Oryzias latipes: one gene and its partner. The protein of the gene in region 1 purifies or fractionates together with the protein of each later gene. This does not show direct contact. Links are inferred from orthologs where the notes say so. Each region holds a gene or a part of one and is shown on either strand. Other genes may lie near its edges.

Region 1 (3,818 bases):
GGGGAGAGATCTTCAGGAGTCAGGAAGTCAGACTAAAATCAGGAGTTTAGGATTTTATTTGACCGATTAGCTTTTTTTTAACTTCCTGTTTGGATCACTTTAAACATGGAGAAACAAACAGCTGCTATCCTTTCACTGAAAATCCACGTTTGCTTTTGTCAGACGGGCGATTAAACTGGGTCTATCTTTAAAGAGGAGTAAAAGAGGACAAAACCCGTCCTATGTAACAGGAGTCTCTTTTCTGTGGCTGCTGCCTTTCATTGGACACAAAGACAGTCAGTGTGGGAGGACAATGACGTGCAGACACACCCAGTTCAGGCAGGCATGGCCCACTCACCGGCAAACCCTCCCGGACAGGTAAGGCGCTCGCATTCAGCCGCCGAACAAAAACAACAAAGACACGCCCTGCCGCTCCGGAACATCACAAGATCACCATTTCAGCGGGGGGAACACACAAAGGGGGATCAGCTTCCCTAAGACAATCTATCTGTGACCGACTCAGTGATTTTCTGCTCTCTGGTTATCTGATTTTTTTGAATCTAAAGGTTTGGGAGGTTAGTTTCGGGCTTTTTAACATTCTGCTTCCACCGTTCCATCTTTTCGATGGAAAAAAATGTGATTTTTAATTCACCAAATCCATGAAGTGACCACTTGCTTGTTTAGAAAAACAGTTTTTAAAGCAAAACTTTCTCATTGTACTATTACATTTTTTAAACGTTGCTCGTTTTAAATTCCAAACATAGAAAAAAAAATGTTTTTGGAATAAATAGTTGACCAAAAGAAAGACGACTTGGACAAATTAGGCAGAATCAGAAAAATTAAAGCACAGTAAAAACCTGTGGTTTCAAACTGAATTTACTCTGACAGACGGAAAGAAATTTGTTCAAAGTGAACTTTCTTGGTTTTATTTGTTTCCTGAAGCCAATAACCTGATTTTAAAAGCAGTTTGGTTTGAAAGCTGCCTTTCTATTTTTAGATTTCTTTTTTATTTATCTTGCCTAAATGGTGATAAAGCCTTTGTCTCTCAGTAAAGCCCTGTAAAGGGCTGTACTTGGAATATAAAAAAGGAGTTCTAATTAGTTTTATTTTTAATATTTTGTGTTGTGGAACTGAAAAGAGAAGAGATTGAATAAATAATAAAAAATTAGATTGACTTTGAGCCTGTCTTTAAGTGGTATTAAACAGAAGAGTTCACATCAAATACCATTTAAAAACTGTGGAAGTGTCAGAAAACGGCAGGAAGCCCAGGTGATTTTCAAAATAAAGAGGTGGACTCATTTGCAACTTTAACATAAATTGCCACAGAGGAGGAAGAGCCCGTCAAAGACGCAATCAGAGTTTCACATGACCGTCCATCCAGCCGGTCACGATGCAGGCAGGGAGGCCTGTTACCTTGGCGACAGTGGTTGCACGGCAGACAGCGGCCCATCCCGTTGGAGTGCTCGGTGTGCGTCTGGCCGTGCTCGCAGGGCTCACAGATCCCCTGCTGCTGGTCTCTTTCACAGGGCTTCTTCACAAATGTTCCTGCAAATGCAAAAAAAACAACAACACACAAATGAAAAAAAACCCTGGAGTGGATCAGTGAAAAAGACTCATTTCTTTGGTGTGAAGCACTTCCGGTATCAGAGTCCACGCCGACAGGAACTGCAGCCGCTTGCTGCTTAAGCATTCCTTTGATTTGTTCGCGACTCAACTTTAAAGATTTTCTTTTTCTCCTCCAGGAAGTCTTCGTTTCTCTGGGATTACAAGAAAACCCTCAGCAGCGACCCACTTCACTAGCCGATTGTCATGCTTATCTCTGCCATCAGTTCATGCATGCCATGAATAAAACCACTTGAGTCTCATGTGTTTCCACCATTTTCTTTTCTGAACGCTGCACACATAACATAAAAGCTTGTGGGGAAATAAAACGAAGTAATTTGGACCAGCTGGTTTGGGGGGGGGGGGGGGCAGCTTGGTTCCGTTTATGACATGACGGTTGAAAACCCAACAAGCATTCGGTGACGTTACAAAACAAAAAGAACAACTTTGAGATCAAAAACGACATTTTAATCCTCAAGTTTGGAAAGATTCTCAAAAGTGAACACAAATCTAATATGAAAATTGGATTTCATTTAATAAAAAGAAAATTGGCAGCTTAAAAATCTGTTGTCTCAAACCTAAAAACATAATTTTTTGAATTTAACTCCAAATTAAGTTACTTAAGTAACAATAAAATACTTTCCAAGTCAAAAAAATTATGTTTTTCCAACTTGTCTGTAGGAGTTTGGTCATAACAACTTTAGATTTTTACTTTTTTTTTCCTTCTTTAAAGATCTTGGTGTGTTTTACACCCACATAAAGGCGCTAATATTTTCCTACATTTCTGCAGAGTAAAATCATGAAAAATAAAAAAACAAATCATCTGCATCTCAACCCTCAAATGAATGCTGCCAGCAGGCGTTCTGGAACAGGCTTTAAGGTGAAATTTCAGATGGAATTGCTTAATCTCAAAGTGTAATTATCTGAATTAGTCCAACAATGGGGCAAAAAAAAAAAAAACTAAAGGTGATGCTTTGAGACGGTGTGAGGGCTTCAAAAACACAAAAGTGTGTTTAAAAGTTGAAGGTTTGAGCTCTTTTGGTTTGTAGAAACACTGTATGGATGATTAACGGCGCAAAAGACCGTGACCACATCAATTTCACGTCCAGCAAAAAAAATAAATGGAATTAATTTGACTCAATTATGAGCCGGGAAGAAATCTCCTGACTTTTATTCATGGAAAACCTGTGATGTTCTGGTTGGAGGAGGAGGAGGGGAGCGTTTCAGGGCGGCGGGGGATTCCTCACCGGCCTGGCAGTTGAGGCAGCACAGCCCCTGGTGGGGGTACTGCTGGTTCTCCACACACTGCGCCTGATGCTGCCGAAGAGTGGCGTTTCTGTGGACGCCGGCGGACCGCTGAGATGCCGGGGGCTCTGCTGCGTGGCAGACGAGCCCCGCGAAGAGCGCCACCACCTGCGTGGAGGAGGAAAAAAGGAGGTTAAAGCGAGCTGGGCTTTTTGGTCCTTGCAGCAGGCGTCGCCGCCGAGTAAAGACGTCTTCATTAGAGGCCTCGTGTGACGAATAAACGTCTTAATCTGCAGCATCTGATCTGCACATCTGCTTCAGGAGGGCCGTGCAGCTGGTCGCATCTCCAGGCAGGTCTCCCACCATGCAACAGGCCGACAGCAGCCGGTGCCCGTATCGAATGCGACCCCTTTCATGCGCTGGATAATAACAGGCTTGTATAGGTGGGGTACGGGGAAGAATACGGCAAACACTTTAGCGTGTCCCCCCCCCCCAGGCCCTGGTGTTTGTTCACACGCTTTTCACCGTGTCAACGTGAGAAGGCTCCATTCACTGGCAAACAACGCACTTTACTGCCCCTTCTTCAAATGACCCACATTCTTAAAGCCCGGCTCTTTGAATGCCGGGACATGCGACACCACGGCGAGGCACCTGAAGCGCAACGTGACACCTCCCTGGGTAAATCGGAGTCACAGATCGGGAGGTTTTGTCTTCTCCTGAGCATCAACAACCCCCCACCCCTCCCCACAAGGTCAGGAGATAAAGGGAAAGAACGACAAGAAACAAGAGGGGTTGAGACGCTTTAGATGGAAAAAGGCGGCAGCAGAAAGCTCGGCCGTGGAGGGCTGCCATGCTGCTCCGTTCCCCGTCTTCCTGCTCACGTCAGAGTTTCCAGAGGCGCTGAGAGGCAGACATGCAGGGGCAGACGGCCGGCAGAGTGCTCACAATCACACCATTTAGATCTATCCAAACATTCTGGGGAGGGGGCAGAA
Region 2 (4,408 bases), on another chromosome or scaffold:
TTATTTTTTAACAAATAAACCTCTATTTGGATGTAAAAAGCCAGTAATTTTGTTTTTATTTGCTTTTTAACTTGAATTCTAACAATTTTCTAAAATTTTTGCATGTGTAGTTTTCTCTAAAATAACTTACCAAGACTAATTCCCATTTAATATAGATAACTTTTAAAAAAAAAGTGGCGTTTGAAGGAAGCCAACCTGAAGACAGCTGTTTTCGCGTTTCATGTTGTCTGGAACTACACATTTTTCTTTCATTTCCTTTTTTTACTGAACTGGAATTTTTAAGTTTGTTCAGTGAAACCACAAATTCAACCTTTTTAGAATAACCGTTACATGTCTACTGGGAAACAGACGCACCATTCCAATTCTTGCTTTTTGTGTAGAGAACTTTTTTTTAATGCTCATAAGTATTTGTGTCTCACCTTGATCAAAACCCACACAGTCTATGATCACACACAGTCCTCTCGGCTTGCTGTTCAAGCTGTATTGCTCAAGCTGACTCTGAAATGTGAACAAATATTTGACAAATTACCATTTTATGTGGTTTTAACATGTTGAAATGATCAAGAAAGGGTAATACTAGAGTGGAAATTTACCGTAGTGCTTGGTTGTCTGCATTCAGATGTTGGTGGGCTTTCTCTGACTGTTGTGAGAGAGTGACATGATAATTAAGGGCATACAAACCCAAATACCCTACATTTACTCTGGGGCTTTCCAACTGTAATGTTGTAACTGAAAAGCCCCACTAAAATACTGTAATTAGACACTGTCCATGTTTTGACTTTGACTATTTTGTTGTTCTAACAACATCTCTGTCATAAACACATTATTTAGCTGTCATGTGTCTCACCTATGTTTATGGCCTTTCCTTGCCTTCTTTCCTAAATAGGGCACAACAAAAGAAAATGTTTTATCAAAAGTATTCAATTATGAGAGTACAAATGTTGAAGAAATGTTGTGTTACTTACAGAGGTTTTACTACTTTGCTGATGAGGTGAATGATGGTCACATCTCTGAGCTGAAAATTGCATAAACAAACATTGGTAACAAAGAATTAAAGAAAATTGTTTCTTTTTTAGGTGAAATCAGTAATTATTGTTAGTTTATAACAAAAACAATCAAAAAAAACTTTGTATAAAAGTATTTGACTCATTGTTAATATATAAATATAGTCAATACTGATTAATTAGATGTTTTAAAAACAGAGCGCGGCTCATTTACCGGTTCTCATAGACCTACTACAATGAAAATTGTCCTCATGATGGAGGACATATTTAAAGAAAGTTGAGTTGCTGAGTATTTCTTTGTTCAAATCATTGTGAATCAGGAGCAGATGAAAAAATGCCGTTGGTAAAAGCTTGTAGCTCTGACGTAAAACCCACTACAGCAAGCCACAAGCTCCATACTCCCAGCAATTCGGATGCATCTACAAATAGATCCATGTACGTCTTTGTTTTCCATCCGAGCTGACGTTTGACTCAAAACTGTACGGCTGGATAGCTCCAATATTGCTTGCCATTTTTGCTGCACCGGTATTGTGAAGTTGGGGGTGTTGGGGGATGTGAGCTAGAGGGTGAGAGTGTAACACATGGATGATGGGTATGGAGGGTGGGCTTACTTCACACCAACGTCCCGCCCACACTCAGAGGTGAGTTTTCTAATAAATGCCTGTCGCTCTGCAGAAATTATGGATTTTTTTTGATTTTGCCTAAAAACTGCATAATACTAAATAAAGAGCACTTGGAAATGCTTATGAAATAAATTAAAAGATGTTCAGATTGGGTCTTTAAATACCCTCCCTCTTACACTTCCTCTTACTCTCCCACTTCCTAGTTTCCCATCAGTCATTCTCCCCATAGCCCAAACTTCCTATTTCAAACTAAGCACAAGTAATTTTTCTATAACAATGCATACCGTACCTGTCTTTTTATATGTGGATACTTTTTTGGCAAGGTCGATCCTGCAAATGTTCCTCAAGCACTCCTCAACCATGTCCACTCTCTCTGGGGAAACTAAATCAAGTTTCTCAAGTTCAACGATCACGTCCAAGAAACTCTGCAGTGGGAAAGTAATGGGGGAAAAACAACAGCTTTTTCAGAGTGAAAGTGCATAATGACAAAGGTTTTCCACACACGCACTCACACTTTCCATTCACGTCTATTGACCTAGTGGAAATCCGTCTTCTCTACCTTTGCATCCCTTTTCTCACGTGGCAATGTTGTGCTTAATAAGAACAATATCTGTTCTAAGTCTTCTGTGTCTAGATCTTCACTTATGTTGGCCATCAGTACTCTGCAAAAACAAACAAAAAAATAAAATAAAGAATTACCTAACAAACAAGCAGGCATGCATAAAACAAGACACTAAAGGTTTTACCTGAATTTTGAGAGAACTTGTCTGTTTTCCAGAGTCTGTTCTACTGCATTCCTGCTCAGAGTAAAGAGCTCCTTCAAAATGTCATATCTGCCCATGCGCCAAATGACCTCTGCTAGGAACTGGCTGGCATTGTCGTGGCAAGTAACTTGGAGTTTTAGAGTCTCCCTCACGGACTGTACACTACTGTCTGCGCTCGTGCTGTCACACAGGAAAAGCAACTTTCTGCATTCACTACTACTCAGCGCCTCAACTATTTTGTTGATGTAGTAAAGATGATTACGTTGATGATCCAAAGCAGCCATCGGTACGGAAGCAGCCTGGTGACGGAAAACAGAATAATAGAGTATTTAAAAAAATGTATCTAAACTGTAGACTGACTAATTTAACGGGGCTAGATCAAACCACGGTCGTTTATGATAATTCCTATCAGCTCAAAGTCCATAAACATCCAAACGCGATAACCGGAAGTCCCCTGGTTTAACGTAAAAATAAAAGTAGCCTTCAGCTGTAAAAACATTAAGTAGAAAAGAAACAGACGGAGTCTCATAGAGCCTACATATAAACGTAGGCTTGTTACGAGCTTTTAAGAAGTAACCCCCAGTCCGGAAAGTACCGTCGTGACGAAATTGAAACTGAAACTTAAAAAAAAGAAGAAGATTTTTTTAAAGCTATAGAAATAATGGTCTTTATTTTTTCATCTTCAAAACCAACACAATTATCTTATAAATATCTATATTATTTCAGAAAAATGTCACACGTATATGTCACAAATTAAGTTAATGTTAAAAGCAAATAAGACATATATTAGCATTTTTCTTACATAATTATTAAGAACAATCAAATAAGCAACATGGTTTTTGCTATGCAAGTGCATATTTGATGTACTTCATGGAGCAAAATCCTGTTATTTGTATTATTTTATTTGATCCATAGATTTTACATATATATATTATTTGGATATAGATTTGTCGGATGATTTTACATAAACCAAGTTCAATTTTATTTTTTATATTTGCCTTAATGATTTCTACCTTAGCACGAAGATGATTTTAGTCACACGATGTACCAAACCAACGACTGTGTGTTTTCCAATTGTTTTGAACGCATCAGCAACCATGTCCGCCAAGCCCAGCCAATCGCGTTGCGCCCTGGTTCGGCATCCTTGCAGTGTTGGGAGATGACTTAAACCTGTGCGGTTCACAGCAAACGGTAGGGCTGAAAGACACCTTCGAAAGCCGAGTGACCACCCAGGGAAAATAGTGACCCCGCTTAGTTCATGTACAGACGTTTCGGTTACTGTCCCACATGTATCCGTTGATAAAGTGAGTATCATTTTCGTGGCTGAGAGAAATTCATTTTGTGACTTTAAGGTTGGGACTGACTTGGAATATTATCAGTACAGGTTGTAACTTGTGTTGGTGTCTATGTGCAAAACTAGAGGGCTATCAATATCAGTGTCGCCAAGTGGAGCATACATTTAACCGGAGACCACCATGTCCCATTGATGTTGCCTGGCTTTTTAAAAGTGGGTTTGGCCTGGTCACGACTGTTAAAAAAAGAAAAAGAAAAAGACGAAGATGCCCGCCAGCTGCTTACAAGAAGAGGCATGTTAGCGGCTGCAAGCTCTGCTAACGTGGTGACGCTAAGCTCGGTGCACAGGTTAGAGCCGTCGTGGCAAATATGAAAAAACGTTAGCTAGCCTTAATCAACTGGCTAACAACAGCTTTCATTTCGGAAAACTGGTTAGCTTTTGAAGCTCAGGACAACGAGGTTCCTCGTTTTCCCAGTGAAATGTAAATATCTTAGTTTATTGTTTGTATTACGAGATACATCATGTATCTGTACGGAGTGACTTCCAGTCGAACTCCTCATAACGTTTCTGCTATTAATAAATGAAAATTGTTTTATTTTGAAATATTGATCGGAAGTCACAAATATGTTACACTTCAAGGAATTGAAGTATATATACGTTTTTCGCTTGATGCTTGACTCAAGTGCTTCTAAATTTCTTTGCAGTGTAATCTTACTCTGCTTT

What was found.
Region 2: the proteins of tumor necrosis factor receptor superfamily member 10B (region 1) and cflar purify together in Homo sapiens (affinity purification with western blotting; 5 studies listed by BioGRID and IntAct, with this or other methods). This does not show direct contact. The link is inferred for Oryzias latipes from reciprocal best matches to the Homo sapiens genes TNFRSF10A and CFLAR.

Annotation. Positions count from the first base shown.
Region 1 is NC_019870.2:4,560,728-4,564,545, forward strand, and holds part of tumor necrosis factor receptor superfamily member 10B, read right to left. Parts: intron 2,995-3,818; coding exon 2,829-2,994; intron 1,525-2,828; coding exon 1,393-1,524; intron 1-1,392. UniProt on the Homo sapiens protein: Receptor for the cytotoxic ligand TNFSF10/TRAIL. The adapter molecule FADD recruits caspase-8 to the activated receptor.
Region 2 is NC_019879.2:19,821,587-19,825,994, forward strand, and holds the start of cflar (CASP8 and FADD-like apoptosis regulator), read right to left. Parts: upstream 2,938-4,408; 5' UTR 2,676-2,937; coding exon 2,374-2,675; intron 2,290-2,373; coding exon 2,187-2,289; intron 2,053-2,186; coding exon 1,917-2,052; intron 1,016-1,916; coding exon 966-1,015; intron 879-965; coding exon 848-878; intron 641-847; coding exon 594-640; intron 499-593; coding exon 420-498; intron 1-419. UniProt on the Homo sapiens protein: Apoptosis regulator protein which may function as a crucial link between cell survival and cell death pathways in mammalian cells. Acts as an inhibitor of TNFRSF6 mediated apoptosis.